2 linked regions of the Macaca fascicularis genome follow. The main gene of each other region encodes a partner of the protein of the gene in region 2 in a complex. Links are inferred from orthologs where the notes say so. Each region holds a gene or a part of one and is shown on either strand. Other genes may lie near its edges.

Region 1 (4,108 bases), on a different chromosome or scaffold from region 2:
CCTGGCCAACATGGTGAAACCCTGCCTCTACTAAAAATACAAAAATTAGCTGGGCATAGTGGTGTGTGCCTGTGATCCCAGCTACTCGGGAGGCTAAGGTAGGAGAATCATTCGAACCTGGGAGGTGCAGGTTGCTATGAGCTGAGATCATGCCACTGCACTCCAGCTTGGGCAACAGAGCCAGACTCCGCCTCAAAAACAAAAACAAAAAACCCTAGAGGGAAGCCAACAAGCCTCAGAGCTCTATCCCCCAACACCCCATTTCTGAGGCTGCCTCCTTTGCTTCAGCGGTAACTTCCTGTGTGCTGTTTCTGTGTTGTAAGCATAGTCAAACCCTTCTTGAAAGTAGATGGGGCATAAACCACACACACAACAGGTTTAGAGGGAGGCCGGGTGGAGAATCTTAGTTAAGAGCAGGCTGCACGCGGGTGCTGACCAAAGACTGGTTTCTGCAGAGGGAAACAGCGCAGCACAGGTCCGCCTGTGCAGTGAGCTGGGATGGGTCTCGGGCAATCCCGGGGCCCTGAGTGCCTATCTCAGAGCCCCACGGCCCTGCCTGGCAATAGGCTGCTCCCCTCACCCTGGGGTCTACCTTGGCCAGCCGTGCCCGCTTGATCAGGTCATTGAGCTTCCTGAGGGCGGCGTTTCGGGGCAGAGACTGGATGTCCTTGAAGAGGTCCTGCTCCTCAGCCTCAAAGAGCTTGCGGTTGTCAGGGATGAGGAGCGGGTGGGACCAGAAGGAGCCGATGTAGACCCTGACCACCTCGGGGGTGTTGATGATCTTGCCCAGGGACCACATGAGGGCCCCATACACCCGCATCAGCTGCTGTGTCTCGATCTGGTCTGCCTTGTTTAGCACCACGCGGATCTTGTCCTCATGGTTCTTCAGGGCCTTGATCACTTCTGAGAACTCATCGGAGATGTCCAGCTTGTGGGCGTCGAAGAGCAGGATGATGCGGTCCACACGCTCGGCGAACCACTCCAGGACGGCTGCAAAGTCATAGCCTGCGGGGAAGAGAAGGGAGAGCTCAGGGGTGCCAAGGGACCTGCTGCTCTGATGGCTCTCATCTCCAACCTGGCCTGGTATTTCTCAGCCAGAGATAGTTTTTAAAATTCCTACAGGCCGGGTGCAGTGGCTCACGCCTGTAATCCCAACACTTTGGGAGGCCAAGGTGGGAAGATCACAAGGTCATGAGTTTGAGACCAGCCTGGCCAACATAGCGAAACCCTGTCTCCACTAAAAATACATAAATTAGCCATGCCTGGTGGTACGAGCCTGTAGTCCTAGCCTACTTGGGAGGCTGAGGCAGGAGAATCACTTGAACCCAGGAGGAGGAAGTTGTGGTGAGCTGAGATCGCACCACTGCACTCCAGCCTGTGCAACAGAGCAAGACTCCATCTCTAAATAAAATAAAATAAAAGTCCTAGAAGGGGCCAGGCACAGTGGCTCAAGCCTGTAATCCCAGCATTTTGGGAGGCTGAGGTGGGTAGATCACCTGAGGCCAGGAGTTCGAGACCAGCCTGACCAACATGGTGAAGCCCCATCTCTACTGAGAATACAAAAATTAGCCAGGCGTGGTGGTGGGCACCTGTAATCCCAGCTACTTGGGAGGCTGAGAGAGGAGAATCGCTTGAACTCAGGAGTGCAGTGAGCCAAGACCATGCCACTGCACTCCAGCCTGGGCAAGAAGAGAGAAACTGTCACACAAAAAAAAAAAAAAAGAAAAAAAGGCCGGGCGCGGTGGCTCAAGCCTGTAATCCCAGCACTTTGGGAGGCCGAGATGGGCGGATCACGAGGTCAGGAGATCGAAACCATCCTGGCTAACACGGTGAAACCCCGTCTCTATTAAGAAATACAAAAAACTAGCCGGGCGAGGTGGCGGGCGCCTGTAGTCCCAGCTACTCGGGAGGCTGAGGCCGGAGAATGGTGTGAACCCGGGAGGCGGAGCTTGCAGTGAGCTGAGATCCGGCCACTGCACTCCAGCCTGGGCGACAAAGCCAGACTCCGTCTCAAAAAAAAAAAAAAAAAAAAAAAAAAAAGAAAAGAAAAGAAAAAAGAAAAGGCCAGGCACAGTGGCTCACACCTGTAATCCCAACACTTTGGAAGCCAAGGTGGGTGGATCACAAGGTCAGGAGTTCAAGACCAGCCTGGCCAACATAGTGAAATCCCATCTCTACTAAAAATATAAAAATTAGCCTGGCGTGGTGGTAGGCACCTGTAATCCCAGTTACTCGAGAGGCTGAGGCAGGAGAATTGCTTGAACCTGGGCGGCAGAGGCTGCAGTGAGCTGAGATCACGCCACTGCACTCCAGCCTGGGCGACAGTGCGAGGCTCCATCTCCAAAAAAAAAAAAAAAAAAAAGCTGGGCGTGGTGGCGCATGCCTGTAGTCCTAGCTACTCAGGAGGCTGAGGCAGGAGAATTGCTTGAACCTGGGAGGCAGAGGTTGCAGTGAGCCGAGATCACGCCACTGCACTCCAGCCTGTGTGACAGAGCGAGACTCTGTCTCAAAAAAAAAAAAAAAATTCCTAGAAGGTGCTCATCTAGACAGTACAGCACCCTGAGGGCAGGATTATCTCCCCTATTCCTGCCCCCACCATAACACTCCCAACCCATGTAGCACTTGGCATAAACAGGTGCTAATGCAAAAGTCGTCCCATAGTGCAAGCTCTTAAGGTGGGTCAGACGAGGGCGAGAGTGAGGAGACCCAGCACTGTGCTCAGCACAGCACAGATGGTAGAACATAGACTCCAGTGTTGCCACCTGCCAGCTGTGTGCCCTGGGAAGGCAGTGACAAGACGTGCCTGCAACAGTAACTGCAGCTGCTCCTTGTTCAGTGCTGATGTGCCAGGCTCCCCATTTTGCAGGAATCTCACTTATTTTCTGCAACAAGGGTTGGCAAACTACAGCTCAGGAATCAAACCTGGCCCACCACCTGTTTGTATAAATAAAGTTTTATTGAAACACAGCCATGCTCATTTGTATTATCCATGGCTTCTTTTGTCTAACACAGCAGAGTTCAGTCGTTATGATAGAAACTGCAAAGCTGTGAAAGGTCTGCAAAGCTGGAAGTATTAACTATCCGATCCTTACAGAAAAAGTTTGCTGACCTCTGCTCTACAAGAAGCCCAGGAAATGCCACAAACCACTTCCCTTCCTAGGTCTTAAATACTTCTCCAAAACAAAGTGGTTGGACTGGATAGACTCCAGCTTTAGGCTCTATATTCTTTTTTTAAAAAAATTATATTCTTTTTTTTAGAGACAGGGTCTTGCTCTGTCACCCAGGCTGGAGTGCAGTGGCACAATCCTGGCTCACTGAACCTTGAACTCCTGAGCTCAAGCCATCCTCCCACCTTAGACTCCTGAGTAGCTGAGACTACAGGCATGTGCCACCATGTCTGGCTAATTTTTAAATTTTTATTTTTGTAGGTATGTTCAGCATTATGTCTATGCTGAACTCCTGGGCTCTAAGAGATCCTCCTGACTTGGCCTCCCAAAGTGTTGGGATGACAGGCCTGAGCCACCATGTCTGGATTCTAAACTCTATTCTAGATTGCTTCCCACCAACCCATTATGGCCCAATTAAGGCCCGCCAATTAAAGCAAACTCTGTCGCCTGTGGCAGAGACTGCTAACTGAAATTCCTCCTAAAGGAAGGAACCAGAAATAACTATCTAGTTTCAGCTGGATTCATGGCCTCCCAGCTTGAGATTGCACTTCCCAGCTTCCTTCAGCAGAAATGAACAAGGAAAGGAGCATGAGCCCTTTGTTGTTTTCTCCCTCCTGAGGACTGGGACGCTGATGTGATGGGAGGAGCTGGAGGAAGCACCTTGGGTTCAGAGATGAAAGCTGCATGTTCAGAATGGCCTTGGACTGTTGTTTTTCACATAAACTATCGGCTATCTGACTTAAACCAATGATTTTTGGGTCTCTGTAACAGCGGTTTAATTTAAATCCTACATGACAACTAGGCCTCTTCAAAATATTTCCACTTTAGCCTGGGCAACACAGCAAAATCCCGACTCTGCAAAGGTGGTACCGGCCTGTAGTCCCAGCTACTTGGGAGGCGAAGACAGGAGGATAACCTGAGCCCAGGAGGTTGAGGCTGCA
Region 2 (3,351 bases):
AGCCTCCCAAAGTGCTGGGATTACAGGCGTGATCCACCGTGCTCAGCCCTGGCCCTATTTATTATTGTTATTATTATTATTTGAGTTGGAGTCTCTGTCACGCAGGCTGGAGTGCAGTGGTGCGATCTTGGCTCGCTGCAAGTTCCGCCTCCCGGGTTCACGCCATTCTCCTGCCTTAGCCTCCTGAGTAGCTGGGACTACAGATGCCCGCCACCACGCCCGGCTAATTTTTTGTATTTTTAGTAGAGACAGGGTTTCATCGTGTTAGCCACGATGGTCTCGATCTCCTGACCACGTGATCTGCCTGCCTCAGCCTCCCAAGGTGCTGGGATTATAGGCGTGAGCCACTGCACCTGGCCTATTCGTTTTTTTGAGATGGAGTGTCACTGTGACACCCAGGCTGAAGTGCAATGGCGTGAACTCAGCTCACTGCAACCTCCGCCTCCCGGGTTCAAGTGATTCTCCTGCCTCAGCCTCCCCAGTAGCTGGGATTACAGGCGCCCACCACCACACCTGGCTAAGGATATTTATTTATTTATTTATTTATTTATTTATTTATTTTTGAGACAGAGTCTTGCTCTGTTGCTCAGGCTGGAGTGCAGTGGCATGATCTGAGCTCACTACAACCTCTACCTCCTGGGTTCAAGCAATTCTCCTGCCTCAGCCTCCCTAGTATCTGGGATTTCAGATGTGTACCACCACGCCTAGCTTATTTTTGTATTTTTAGTAGGATGAGGTTTCACCATTTGACCAGGCTGGTCTCGAGCTCCAGACCTCCGGTGATCCACTTGCCTCGGCCTCCCAAAGTGCTGGGATTACAGGCATGAGTCATCGGGCCCGGCCTAGGATATTTATTTGAAGGCAGGGAAGCCTGTGGCGGTAGATGTTGTGGAGGGAAGGCCAAGTATAGGCACTCATCCCTGGAGCCTGCAGGCTGGGGGAGGGGGAAATACTAGGGCTCTGGTGGGCCCCTCGGGGTGGTCCTGTGGGTTGGCTGGGGCCTTGAGAGGAGAGGAGGCTGGAGGGGCAGCAGGTGTGCCTGGCTTCAGGGGAGCCTTCTGCTGGGCTCCCTGCCCCCAGCATCCCCTCTAGTCTACCTTCCTCCACAGCCTTGGATAAATGTCCCAGTATGTCACTTGGGTCATGTTGCTTCTCCTGCTGGAGGAGCCTTGGGGTTCCCTGTTGTCTCCTGTCCCCTGCCCCACTCTGTCCCTCCTGAATCTTGCCTCCCGCCAGAAGCCACCTAGTGAACATTTGTTGAATGGATGAATGAACATAAGCTTGAGACTCTTGGTGCCGCCCTGTTCTTGCAGCATGTGCTCTGCTGGCCCTGCTGGGGCCTTTTGCAGACTCTTTGGTAGGCAGCCTGGTGCCCTTGGTCTCTTCTGTCAACAACCTTCTTTTCCCAAGAACTTGTAAGCCCCACCTATCGGGGCCCTTCCTTTCTGCGCTGTTAGTATCTAGCATGATATTTAGCACGGGGCTGGCCTGCAGCACTTAGGCAGTGGCTCCTGGCAGCCTGGGGAGGAAGAGGGCTTTCCTACACTCATGCCCCCTAAATTTTCTCCCTTGGCAGAAAAGGACTGGACGGAGGAGGACCGGGCCCGGGAGAAGGTGCTGATGCAGGAGCTTGTGACCCTCATTGAGCAGCGCAACGCTATCGTCAACTGCCTGGATGAGGACCGGCAGAGGTGACATGGCCAGGGGTGGGGGCTCCTGGGAGACAGGGCCAGAGCAGATCAGGCCCATGGCCCCATGGGTGGGGCAGCTCCCTGGAGAGCCAAAGACACAGTCCACACCTCGGGCCAGGCCAGCCCTGCCCTCCTACCAGCGATCCCAGTACACCCTTGCTCAGCCCTGTGTGGACAGAGAGGGCATCTGCTCCTTCCTCCTGTGGGACTCTCAGCTGCTGCCGTTTTAATTTTTTTTTTTTTTTTTTTTTTTTTTTGAGACAGCGTTTCGCTCTTATTGCCCAGGCTGGAGTGCAATGGCATAACCTTAGATCACTACAACCTCTGCCTCCCAGGTTCAAGCAAATCTCCTACTTCTGCCTCTCGAGTAGCTGGGATTACAGGCATGAGCCACTACATCCAGCTACTTTTTGTATTTTTAGTAGAGACAGGGTTTCACCATGTTGGCCAGGCTGATCTCGAACTCCTGACCTCAGATGATCCACCTTGGCTTCCCAAAGTGCTGGGATTACAGGCGTGAGCCACCGTGCCCAGCCTAACTGCTGCTGCTTATTTCAGGGAGGAAGAGGAAGACAAGATGTTGGAAGCCATGATCAAGAAGAAAGGTGAGGCCCTTGCTGGGGATGAGGCTGGTGCCCAGTTGAACTTCAGCATTGGGGGTGGAAGGGAGGGATTGGTTGAAGGGAGGATTGGAGTGGGCACTACCAGGATGGCTGTGCACAAACTCCGCAGCCTCTGTTTTGCGGAGAGGGCTGTGTGTAGCAAGAGAGGCCAGCCTACAGCCAGGAAGGCTGTGGCTTAGGCTTGGAGGGTAGCCGTGGGATGCCCTGATGCCCACAGAGACGACTGTGGATTTGTCCTCAGCTGTGCATTCCCCCTTGAGATCTGCAGCTGGTTTTGTTGGAGTCTGTGGGCCCAAACAGCAATGCTTCCTGGGGACCAAGTGGTGCTTGGAACAGTTAAAAGAGTACTGGACAGGAGATCGAGATCATCCTGGCTAACACAGTGAAACCCCATCTCTATTAAAAGTACAAGAAATTAGCCAGGCGTGGTGGCGGGCCTCTGTAGTCCCAGCTACTCGGGAGGCTGAGGCAGGAGAATGGCGTGAACCCAGGAGGCGGAGCTTGCAGTGAGCTGAGATCGTGCCACTGCACTCCAGTGTGGGTGACAGAGCAAGACTGCGTCTCAGAAAAAAAAAAAAAAAAAAAAAAAAGATAAATGGGGCCGGGCACAGTGGCTCATGCCTGTAATCCTAGCACTTTAGGAGGCTGAGGCGGGCTCATCGCCTGAGGTCAGAAGTTTGAGACCAGGCTGGCCCAACATGGTGAAACCCCATCTCTACTAAAAACACAAAAATTAGCTGGGTGTGGTGGCACACTTCTGTAGTCCCACCTACTTGGGAGGCTGAGGCAGGAGAATTTCTTGAACCAGGCGGCAGAGTTTGCAGTGAGCTGAGGCCGCACCATTGCACTCAAGCCTGGGCGACAGAGACTCTGTCTCAAAAAAAAAAAAAAAAAGGCTGGGCACGGTGGCTCAAGCTTGTAATCCGAGCACTTTGGGAGGCTGAGACGGGCGGATCATGAGGTCAGGAGATCGAGACCATCCTGGCTAACACGGTGAAACCCTGTCTCTACTAAAAAATACAAAAAAAAAAAAAACT

Evidence for each region. The genes of interacting proteins can lie anywhere in the genome.
Region 1: the proteins of MICALL1 (region 2) and EHD1 are in contact, whole or in part, in an NMR structure (PDB 2KSP), measured with the Homo sapiens proteins. The link is inferred for Macaca fascicularis from reciprocal best matches to the Homo sapiens genes MICALL1 and EHD1. Residues at the interface, in NP_203744.1 of Homo sapiens: Lys422, Tyr424, Asn425, Pro426, Phe427, Glu428, Glu429; in NP_001269373.1 of Homo sapiens: Gly464, Ala467, Lys468, Met471, Asn478, Leu481, Gly482, Trp485, Lys486, Lys492, Asp493, Gly494.

The regions. Positions count from the first base shown.
Region 1 is NC_088388.1:9,523,878-9,527,985, reverse strand, and holds part of EHD1 (EH domain-containing protein 1), read right to left. Parts: intron 1,006-4,108; coding exon 593-1,005; intron 1-592. UniProt on the Homo sapiens protein: ATP- and membrane-binding protein that controls membrane reorganization/tubulation upon ATP hydrolysis. In vitro causes vesiculation of endocytic membranes. Acts in early endocytic membrane fusion and membrane trafficking of recycling endosomes.
Region 2 is NC_088384.1:13,681,494-13,684,844, reverse strand, and holds part of MICALL1 (MICAL-like protein 1), read left to right. Parts: intron 1-1,576; coding exon 1,577-1,691; intron 1,692-2,249; coding exon 2,250-2,296; intron 2,297-3,351. UniProt on the Homo sapiens protein: Lipid-binding protein with higher affinity for phosphatidic acid, a lipid enriched in recycling endosome membranes. On endosome membranes, acts as a downstream effector of Rab proteins recruiting cytosolic proteins to regulate membrane tubulation.